Mus musculus: one gene and its partners. The protein of the gene in region 1 binds, or shares a complex with, the protein of each later gene. Links are inferred from orthologs where the notes say so. Each region holds a gene or a part of one and is shown in the gene's direction. Other genes may lie near its edges. The genes, in order: Gabarapl1, Nbr1 and Stbd1.

Region 1 (3,468 bases):
AAAAGGTCGGAAACACACTGACAGACACTCAGCTTCTAGGGATACTTGTCCAGTGTTGTTTCTGCTTCTTTGCTTTTGTGTATTTCCCATTTCTTATCTCTAAGATGAGATTTTCAAAACAAAGAATCTAATGTTAATATTCTTGTCAGATATTTTCTGTTCTCTGAGCCACTCTGTAAACATCACCGAAGATTTTGTGTCTTTTTCTTTGTTACAAAATGCAGAATCTTTAAAAGTGTTATGAAAAAACTTAATGTCGACATTGAAAGTCCCTTAAAATTCTAACACGGTTACTAATGCTGAATAACTTAGTGTGTGACTCTCAAAAAGTGTCCCTCATTATAAAAATTCAAAATAGCTTTCACTCAGCAATGAACACTTTTCTGCAAAGATTGAAATCTGAACCACATTACGTGCGTGTGTATGTGTATGTGTGTGTGTGTGTGTTAGTCATCACTGTAGCAGTGTCTGAGAAGGTCAAATTCTATAGGGAAAGAAAGCTACTGACTTCAGAAGTCTTTGTCCATGCTCTTAGATGGCCCCAGTCTTTGGCCTGGTGGTGCGTCAAACTATCGTGTTAGAAGCATAGAGGCACAGATGAGGGAGGATTAGTCTCTGGCTCAAACACCTAAAACCTCCATGATGCCCCACCCCTTAAAGTTTCTACCACTTGCTCATAGCACCAAGGCAGGAGCACTTTTTTTTTTTTTTTTTAACACAACGGCCTTTGAAAGGCAGTGAAGTTCTAAATTATAATGTTGTGCTTGTAACAAATGGCATTTCCCCCTCTGTGTAAGTGTGTACACAGGCGAGGGAGCATGTGTGTGATTGCGTGTATGTATGTGGAGGCCAGATGTTGGTATCTCACACAATTCTTGCTTACTCTTCACATTACTCAGTGTGAATCCAGAGCTTGCCCCTTTAGTTACTCCAGCCAGCCAGCTTGACCCAGGGATCTCCAGTTTCTGCCTTCCCAGCATGGGGACTGCACATCCAGTGGGCACTCACATGGAGTTTGGGGATCAGAACTCAGTCTTCACACTTTGACAGAGAGCGCTTTTGTGACTGCTTCTTCTCCTGGGTCTGTAAATGGTATTTTAGAGGAAAAATAAATAGGTCATCAGACACATCTTAGAAACACAGAACATCTCTTCAATTCTCTAATAAAATACCGTAGGGTGAATGACTTTTATAGCCCTTTATAGGTAATTTGTAGTTGTTTAAACTCAAGGAGTATTGGAAATGGGGACTGAAAAATGAGACTGGACAGCATGGGCAAATTTCAGGTATGTAAGGAAAAAGACAATGCTAGGCTGTCTGGTTTTCATCCCAGTCTCCTGTTCTTCTAGGTCATCGTGGAGAAGGCTCCTAAAGCCAGGGTCCCTGATCTGGATAAGAGGAAGTACCTTGTGCCCTCCGACCTCACTGGTAACCATCTTTCTCTCTTCTGACCTTTCATTCCAGGCAAAGCATTCTTGATCTTTAAGTCTAAGTTGGTGACTATATGGGTTGTCACTGCATGTAGGTGGTGACCTTGCATGGTTTCCTTCAGTGAGCTGGCCAGTACAGATAGGCATACTCTGCCCTCCTGTTTCTAGTTCTGTTTGATATTTCCCAATGCCATACTCATGTACCCTAGTCATGGAGACACAGGAAAGCAGTACTCTGGGAGTAAAGAACAAAAGTTTGTCATTTATACCACTTTAAAAATCAGCCATGCTATCCTGAGGTGGATCGATTTATATCAGCTCCAGCCGTGTCTTGGGTATTGTCACCAAGGAGGATCACATTTCAGAGATTTATATCCAAATACTTTATCTTTAAATGTGCTTCTGTCTGGGAGATGAAAACTGCAAAACCTAGCCTACTTTCTGTTTTGAATTATATGTATTTAGAGTTTACCTTGTTCTTAAAGAAGTACCAGGTGCCTTCAGGATGCCCTGGAAAGATTCTTTTAGATGCAGTGTTCACGCATTTGCCTGTCAGCCTCCCAGAGCTTCATTGTTTGCAGGAAGAAGTTGCGTGGGCTCATTGTCCCAACATTTGCCCCCATGGTACTGGGAGGGCCAGAGTGCAGTGGATCTCTTCCTATTGTTAGCTCTTAGAGTGCAAATGGGACCCCAAAGGAATCAGGAGTCCATTTAGATGGGAATGCTTGGATCTACATTGTACTCCCCCACAATAGTCGTGCTGGATAGATTTGCTAATATTGAGTCTGAAGATGGATGAGGAAGAAGGGAGGGGACAGTCCCAGTGTGGTGGGTCAGACACTGTACATGCCTCCTTTTCTATTTTCCCACTAAGGCTCTCGGACAGCTTTTGGGTCTGAAAAGCTTGTACTTACACAATAGATTTTATTTTGTTTTCTGAGGTTTCTCCTACTAATCCTTTTTCATTTCTCACCCTGCTCTCTGTTTCCTTCCTGTAGTTGGCCAGTTCTACTTCTTAATCCGGAAGAGGATCCACCTGAGACCTGAGGACGCCTTATTCTTCTTTGTCAACAACACCATCCCTCCCACCAGTGCTACCATGGGCCAGCTGTATGAGGTAATGGTCTTGATCACAATACCCAGCAGCCTGGTGTCCCTTCGCTCTGGTTCCAGGGTTTGTTAAACACCTGGGAAGTAGGGCAGGAGGTGTTATTTATGGGGATCCTCTTACACACAGCACTGTGACGCTGGGAGATTAGATACCCTTTGTCCTTTAGGGACTGAGCACCTACTCGATTTAATCTTTTGAAATCTCTCTCTAGTCTTTCCTGACTGTAGTACTTTATTGCCGGTTCCAGTGGTTCTTGGTAGCAAAGCATCACCATGCTCACCCTTCTGTTACTGTCTCTGGAAGCACAGTTTGTTAGTGAACTGTGCACTCCATTTCCTGCCTGTCAGCCATCCACATCTAGCAATAGATGGAGAAAAGAGACACCAGCAACCCTTGGCTCCTTTTCCGTCTGAACCTGGAGCCCTGTCTTCCCAGTTAGCTCCCACATAAACGGCCAAGATTCGGCTTAGGACAGGCACATCTGGAAGCTCTCTTTCTAGAGCAAACCGGAGGCCACGTAAGAGTTTCCATTATCTGAGTACAGGGAATGAGTTAAAGTGTCAAGTTAGGATCTGATTTGGGAAAAACTGTAGTGAGGACTTCATATACAAATAATGTGACCTAAGATTGTGACTGTACTACTCCTTGTACGATGTCACACATGATACTGCCTTCCCATTGTGCTCCAATAGTCAGATGCACATCTAGTAACCCCTGGTCTAGCCCTTATTATTCCATAGCATATATTCCCGTGAGTATGTATGCCAGTAGATGCTTTGTGGTTTCTGTGCTCTCCTTGCTAGAGTGAGGAGTTTTTTTTTTTCCTTTTTTTAAATGTGTGTGTGTGTGTGTGTGTGTGTGTGTGTGCTTGCAAGTGTACATGGATGTGCGCACACAGGTGGACATCGAAGGACAGTTTCAGGGTGT
Region 2 (3,047 bases), on another chromosome or scaffold:
GCCTCCTGAGTGCTGGGGTTAAAGGCGTGAGCCACCACGCCCGGCCTGGGTTTCCACTCTTAAGCCTGTTGCAGACCTTGCAGAGGTGGGCACTGTGCTGTGCTGGGAAGAGCAGCCTTGGAAGCCAGCCAGCTCCAGCTCCAGTTTTGCTTTTCCTCACAGACTAATGCGGCAGCTCAGCTGGTTTGTGATGCCTTCAGGACTGCGCCCTTATTTTAGGTCTCAGGACTGTAGAACTGTGAAGGAGTCAGGAGGTCCCCACTCAAGGTCACTTCCTCTTCCAAAAAATGCCCAACCTAAAACTCTGCGAACTAACACATCAGGGTTACAGGATTAGAGGGTTATTTTTCTACTCAATGATGTCCCCAGCATTTCTAGACAATTTGTCTTCCTCTGTGACTTAAATCAGCCACAGACCTTTCTAAAACTTAAAAGAGGAAAAGAAAGGAGAAAAAAACTAAAGACACCCCCATTAACTTGCCGCCTGCCTTGATAATAGCTTGTGGGTGCTGCAGCTAACCAACAGCTCTTTTGCTTTTAGAGCCCAGAGGCTCAACAGGACTCGCAAACAGCAGACAGAGGAGCTGTGACCACTCAAGGTAACGACCTTGTGAAGTCTCTTCTTGAGAAACAGGAAGACATCCCAGCATTGCTTCTGCTTGAATGAGCCTCTGAGAGCAGGTGGCGAGCACCTTAAATGAGCACCTTCCAAGCACAGGAAGGAGCACCCTCATTCCTCCTTGTTCTTACGTCTGACACTTATGAGCACCACCGGCAGAGAGCTAAAGCTCATGCTTAAGTGCATCACTTTTTAGGGATTACCCTGAAATCCACCTCACCTGTAATGCCCAAGAAGACAAGCAGGCCAAGCCCCAGGTGCATCTAGCTGGTTTTCTTACATACCGCTGCCTCTCTGGTCCCTGCCGTCTCAGATCAGAATCCAGAAAAATCACATTTCCTTTGCCAGGTTTTCTCTGAGATGTACAGACAGATGGCTGATATCCAGGTGTGCCCATGACCACATTAATTTTCAGCTGGGATGGAAAACTGGCGTAGTAACTAGGGTGTGCGTTTCCTGCAGTACTCAGGTCTTCTGCCAGCCGAGCCAGAGCCCTGCAGCAAACCAAGATCTGTAGCTATGAAAACATTTCATTCTCTCTTTTTACATCTGATTTTTTTTTTCTTTTAAGGATACCTTATTTTTCTTTCGAGATTATCACCCACATTATCTTGTAAGGTCATGTTTTATTAGGGGAGATAATTTGGTTTTCCTCTGTAGGCACCACAATGGGAGCAGCATTGCTGGAGGACTGGTGAAGGGGGCTTTGTCTGTTGCTGCCTCTGCGTACAAGGCCCTGTTTTCTGGGCCACCAGTCACTGCACAGGTCAGTGTGTGGTTTCTTTTCCTTAACTTCAGCCCCCAAGTCACCAGTGCAAATGGCAGTCCTTCTGTCTGGATTGGCAATTAACATGGCAAGGACTATGTGTAGACAGTCTCTTTAATGAACACACAGCCTGCCCGCCATTTCCTATCATTTTAATTAATTAAGCTACTCTGGGAAAAACAGGAAAAGAACCTAAGATTTGTTGAAGACTGCATGTACAAAGTTGCTGTTCTACAACAACGTAGTGGACATACTACGGGATAATAAGACACACATTCCTGTCAAACAACTGTAGGGAATTGGCAAAGTATATACATTTCCAGGACAGGATAGGACACTGTGCTAGTGCATCTCCACCTACTGGGACTGAGGCTCTTGGGAGTTAGTATCTGAAGCACAAAGCAAGTGTACCCCAGAAAAGTAATGCTGGATATGATAGCGCTCACCTATATTCCCAGCTACTCAGGAAGCAGAAAAATTGCAAGTTCAAGGCCAGCCTGGGCTACATAGTAAAACCTTTTTTCAAAATAAAATTTGAGAATATAAAACCATAAAAAGGTACAAATGTAGTTTAGTAACAGTAGAACTCTTGCTTAGCACCCTAGGTTCAGTTACAGGTCTTGTCTTCTCCTTTGGAGATAGAGTAGTGTAGCTGGAAGAGTTGTGAGTGAGCGGATGATGGATTGATCTGAAGAGGAGAAAAGACCAACTCTAAGTGCGGGGGTTTTATTCTAAGACATAGAAGGGGAGGGTTGTTGTGTTGTTATGGGTTTGTTTGTTTGCTTTTGGAACAGAGTCTCTACATATCTCTGGCTGTCACTGTAGAGCAGGCTAGCCTTAAACTTACAAATTCATCTGCTTCTGAGAGCTGGGACTAAAGGCTCTACACCTCCATTAACAGGAAAGAGATAGGCGCGTGAGGACCTGCCGGTGATTTAAGTGATTAGCAAAGGAGTGCAAGGATAAAGCTCAGGCTTTAGCCTAGGTACTCAGTATCACGCATCTCAGTGAATAAAGGTGCTTGCTGCCAAGCCGTGACACCCGGAGTTCCGATCCCGGGAAGGAGAGAACTGACTCTCACAAGTTGTCCTCTGGCATTCACATGAGCACCCCACACACAAACATACAGTAAAATGCATAATAAACTGGGCGTGGCGGCGCAAGCCTTTAATCCCAGCACTTGGGAGGCAGAGGCAGGTGGATTTCTGAGTTTGAGGCCAGCCTGGTCTACAGAGTGAGTTCCAGGACAGCCAGGGCTACACAGAGAAACCCTGTCTCAAAACTAAAAAAAAAAAAAAAAGCATAATAAATACACCCCCAAGTAAAACAAGTTTATTACTTGCCAGTTTTCTTAATGTTGAATTTACAACTTATCCAGGTTAAAAGTAAAGTCATGCAGCATGCAGTTGGCTGTGTACACCTCCATTACAGAGGATGGATTTGACCTGAGGCTGAAGTTTGAGAGTCATTTACATACAGGTTCTAGCAGGAGCTGTGTGATTGGATAAGATTATCCAGGAAAAATAAAAGGCAGAAGCAGCCTTTTAAGTATCAAAGCAACAGGATTCTACTAAAACAGAACTTAGAAGAAACAGGGCCACTGCTGCAACTTGGGGAGGTTTATAAGGGATCAGTAGACAGTGCTAAATGCTGCAGAGAGCT
Region 3 (4,186 bases), on another chromosome or scaffold:
GGAGGGCTGAGTGATGCTCTGATCTACAGGTATAGCAACAGTCTATTTGAAAGTTAAATAATTTAATAATAAAACAGGAGTCAGTATTGCTCTGTTCTCCACCTCTCTACCAGTTGCAGCCTATGCCAAGAGAGGAGCAACCCACCAGGAAGTCTCTCTCAGGAGATGTGTGATCTCTTGTGATCTCAGTGATCCAGCGAGGTGCACTGTTGAGTGATTGATCCTCCCAGAGGGAGCCATGTTAGCAATAATTGCAAGGCATATACTTTCCAGCTGTGGCCTCAGCAACAGGATGTATGTGTTTAAAGGAAAGACTCCAGGTAAAACACCCGGCTCTTTACCCTGAGTAGTGTGCACATCAGCACAGCAGTGTGGTCCTTCCTTCACAGGATTTCTGTTGTGTGAGGACCAATTTAAGTTCATACACAAAACACTTTGACTATATGATGCTTTGATAAAGGGTTGCTGCTTTATTAATATTTACTTGTAGGGGCTCCGTGTCTGGGCAACATCCAGTTCAGCTGGGTGGGTGGGTGTGCAGCAACACGCGTGGCGAGAGAGAGAGAGAGAGAGAGAGAGAGAGAGAGAGAGAGAGAGAGAGAGAGGAAGAGAGAGAGAGAGAGGAAGAGAGAGAGAGAGAGAGAGAGGAAGAGAGAGAGAGAGAGAGAGAGGAAGAGAGAGAGAGAGAGAGGAAGAGAGAGAGAGAGAGAGAGAGAGAGCGCCAGAGCCTGTAACTCCCCACTGGAAACGGGAGAGAATTTCGAGTTTGAGGCAGCCTGGGGTACGGAAAGACTTCTAGGCTAGTCTAGAACCTTTTTTTAAAAAAAAGAGTGTAGGAGGTCCCAGAGGTAAAGGCGAACAAGATTGGCGGAGGTGGTGGGCCTTTATGTAGAGATTTGAGAAAGCTGGGGATGGATTGGAGCTTCCCCTAAGCCCCTGCGCCCTCCCCACGATCCTTACTCTCTCCACCCCTAATTGTGCTAACCGTCCAGTGAGAGCCTTCTCCGGCCTCAGAGCTCCGGGCGCCCATCTCCTGGCTCGGAGCTGTGCGTAACCGGGCTCTTCTGGCGTGGGATAAAGTGGAGCGGGACCAGGTGTGGAAGGGCCGGCAGCGGTGATGGGAGTGGGCGAGAGCCGGGTTGCGGGGCGGGGCGAGCGGGGCGGGAGGCGGGGCCAGGAAAATTCGCGGCGGCCGTGGAAGGCTGGGCTGGCGGCCAAGAACCTTAAAAGGATGGGGCGGGCGGGGTGGGTGTGGCCGTTCGGGTGAGCGGAGCCCTGCACTGGGGCTCGTAGTCTCCCTCAGCCTCTCTCAGCCATGGGCGCCGTCTGGTCAGCCCTGCTGGTCGGCGGGGGTCTAGCTGGAGCGCTCATCCTGTGGCTGCTGCGGGGAGACTCTGGGGCCCCGGGGAAAGACGGGGTTGCGGAGCCGCCGCAGAAGGGCGCACCTCCTGGGGAGGCTGCGGCCCCGGGAGACGGTCCGGGTGGTGGTGGCAGTGGCGGCCTGAGCCCTGAACCTTCCGATCGGGAGCTGGTCTCCAAAGCAGGTATTCTTCCTCCCCTCGAGCTAGTTGTTTTGAAGTTCTCCGGGGAAGGGGAAACGAAAGGCACTTGGAGCCATGCGGGTGGGTTCTGGTGGACCACCTTCCCCGACCTCGGACTGAACCTTCTTCAGCCCTCATCGCGTTCTGGGGTTGTCCTGTCCTGGAGAGGCCACGCGGGTCCTCCAGAGGCCGCGCCCAGCTTCTGCCGCCTCAGCGGGCACAGGCTCCTCCGCCTGGCCGCACTTGGAGCAGTGTACGAGGATGGCTTGGGGGGGGGGGGGCATCTCACAACTCTTCAGTTCCTGCTGAAGCTGAGAGGGACATCTTCTGAGTCCCAGTCGCTGACATACCACACCCCTCCTTAGATCTGGGGCTTATGAACACTCACTTCCTACTATCTGGGCAGCTTTTTCAGGAAAGTAAAATTCAGCTTAGACTTAGGTCATGAAGGCCACTGTAGCTGAGGCTTTGTGCTGGCGTGTGAACAAGTGGTGGCCTACTAGGGAATCGAACTCTGATGAGAATTGTCACCTAAGTTTAAATCTACATTTTAGAGACCCTGCATCAGGCAATCAGTGTGCACTGGCACAAACCCTTACCTCCTGTGCCCTTTGCCCAGCTGCCTGGCAGAACTTATTTTTAGTGGTGGTCATTTGTAGCTACTACGTGAAAATCTTTCCCACGGCTGGGTTTTGATAAAAGGTTCTTCAGAAAATTAGGACTCCAGAGTAATATTTGCTGACATCTCACTTTGAAGGTCATCATTAAAAAGAGGCAAACATGTAGCGCAGAGTTCTCCTAACCCCTGCTGATTTATGGTTTTAGGGCGGTCAGGCTTCTAGGAGAGGTCGCCAGGAATGAAGCCAGGGTTTTAGAGAACTTGGATAGTATACTTTTAAGAATAGTTTTTATAACTGTATGTACTTATTAAGGAGGGTGGGTGGGATGGGAAAATCTTGTGCTTGTTGAAGACATTACTTTTCCCTCAAGCCCTCCCCACCCCCACCACACCCCCCCCCCCCAGCTCCACTCAGTCTTGTTCTCGGTTTTCTTCACACTGACTGCTATGCTTTCCAGTTAGCTGGAGCTGGCCCGTCTTGTATTCACTGCCAGGGAGTTCAGGTGTACTCTCAGGTGCAGGGTAGCCATGTAATCCTTTGTTCTATAGAAGCCACCAGCATGTGAGGCTGGGCCTTGTGCTAAGCTCCTGCCCCAACCCTTGGACAGCATTTTTTTTTCTTCTTTTCTTTAAATGACAGGAGCCAAGTGACTTAACTTTGGATACCTGCCAACATGGTCTGGACTGTGGGAGACTTTGCAACTTGCCACTTCATTCTCTCTCATGGTGTGTGCTGAGACTCCCCAAGTGTGCTTTTGATCGTTGGCTCTACATGTGTGCTCTTAGAGCAGTGTTGGGAATGTTCAAATAGGTACTTGCTTTTTTTAAAACAGAGCCTTGAACTGTACATAGAAATAAAGACAAGAGCAAAAGTTTTCTGCGTCTTCCTTTGTGAACCACCTAATGTTACTGCCCTTTCCTTTCTTAGAGCATCTTCGAGAAAGCAACGGACATTTGATTTCTGAGAGCAAAGATCTTGGTAACCTGCCGGAAGCACAGCGGCTGCAGAATGTTGGAGCAGACTGGGTCAATGCCAGAGAGTTTGTTCCTGTTGGGAAGATTCCAGACACACACTCCAGGGCCGACTCTGAAGCGGCAAGAAATCAAAGCCCAGGATCTCATGGAGGAGAATGGAGACTCCCCAAAGGACAAGAAACAGCTGTCAAAGTAGCTGGCAGTGTGGCCGCAAAGCTGCCCTCCAGCAGCCTGCTTGTGGACAGAGCTAAAGCAGTCAGTCAGGACCAGGCAGGCCACGAGGACTGGGAAGTGGTGTCTAGGCACTCATCTTGGGGGAGTGTTGGTTTGGGTGGCAGTCTTGAGGCTTCTAGGTTAAGTCTAAATCAGAGAATGGACGACAGCACAAACAGTCTTGTGGGAGGAAGAGGCTGGGAAGTAGATGGGAAAGTGGCATCTCTGAAACCTCAACAGGTCAGCATCCAGTTCCAGGTGCACTACACCACAAACACCGATGTGCAGTTCATTGCAGTGACTGGAGACCATGAGAGCCTTGGGAGATGGAACACATACATCCCACTCCACTACTGCAAAGACGGGCTCTGGTCTCATTCTGTCTTCCTGCCTGCAGACACAGTGGTGGAGTGGAAGTTCGTGTTGGTAGAGAATAAGGAAGTTACTCGTTGGGAAGAATGCAGCAATAGATTCCTGCAGACTGGCCATGAGGATAAAGTGGTTCATGGGTGGTGGGGGATTCACTGACTCAGTTTTCAGAGCATCCAAGAGGCTGCAGCAGAATGTGGACAAGGCTAAGGCTTTAGAGCGCACTGCATAGCTTAAAGTAAAGGCGGTGTGATTCCAATTGTAGCCATCAGGGCTCTTTCAGATTTGCTAGTGTGGCTTTTGTCCAAAATGTAGGAAGATGTATGCCTGCAGATAATGCTTCCTGTAAGCTGGCACTTGTCCCTTATTGTATTGACTGGTTTGTGCTGACACATCAGGACTTGAGGAATTGATCATCCTGGGTAGTTGCATCTTGGGTAGTACACCTGAGGTATGGACTACATATGGG

What was found.
Region 2: the proteins of Gabarapl1 (region 1) and Nbr1 are in contact, whole or in part, in an NMR structure (PDB 2L8J), measured with the Homo sapiens proteins. The link is inferred for Mus musculus from reciprocal best matches to the Homo sapiens genes GABARAPL1 and NBR1. Residues at the interface, in NP_113600.1 of Homo sapiens: Glu12, Tyr13, Lys16, Glu17, Lys20, Ile21, Lys24, Tyr25, Arg28, Pro30, Lys48, Tyr49, Leu50, Val51, Pro52, Phe104; in NP_005890.2 of Homo sapiens: Ser729, Glu730, Asp731, Tyr732, Ile733, Ile734, Ile735, Leu736.
Region 3: the proteins of Gabarapl1 (region 1) and Stbd1 are in contact, whole or in part, in a crystal structure (PDB 8X8A), measured with the Homo sapiens proteins. The link is inferred for Mus musculus from reciprocal best matches to the Homo sapiens genes GABARAPL1 and STBD1. Residues at the interface, in NP_113600.1 of Homo sapiens: Glu17, Ile21, Tyr25, Asp27, Arg28, Pro30, Val31, Ile32, Lys46, Lys48, Tyr49, Leu50, Val51, Pro52, Asp54, Leu55, Gly58, Gln59, Phe62, Leu63, Arg67, Phe104; in NP_003934.1 of Homo sapiens: Glu201, Glu202, Trp203, Glu204, Met205, Val206, Pro207, Arg208, His209, Ser210, Gly213.

The regions. Positions count from the first base shown.
Region 1 is NC_000072.6:129,536,142-129,539,609, forward strand, and holds part of Gabarapl1 (gamma-aminobutyric acid receptor-associated protein-like 1), read left to right. Parts: intron 1-1,349; coding exon 1,350-1,428; intron 1,429-2,428; coding exon 2,429-2,547; intron 2,548-3,468. UniProt on the Homo sapiens protein: Ubiquitin-like modifier that increases cell-surface expression of kappa-type opioid receptor through facilitating anterograde intracellular trafficking of the receptor. Involved in formation of autophagosomal vacuoles.
Region 2 is NC_000077.6:101,576,653-101,579,699, forward strand, and holds part of Nbr1 (next to BRCA1 gene 1 protein), read left to right. Parts: intron 1-541; coding exon 542-599; intron 600-1,279; coding exon 1,280-1,385; intron 1,386-3,047. UniProt on the Homo sapiens protein: Ubiquitin-binding autophagy adapter that participates in different processes including host defense or intracellular homeostasis.
Region 3 is NC_000071.6:92,601,794-92,605,979, forward strand, and holds the start of Stbd1 (starch-binding domain-containing protein 1), read left to right. Parts: upstream 1-1,257; 5' UTR 1,258-1,315; coding exon 1,316-1,544; intron 1,545-3,088; coding exon 3,089-3,876; 3' UTR 3,877-4,186. UniProt on the Homo sapiens protein: Acts as a cargo receptor for glycogen. Delivers its cargo to an autophagic pathway called glycophagy, resulting in the transport of glycogen to lysosomes.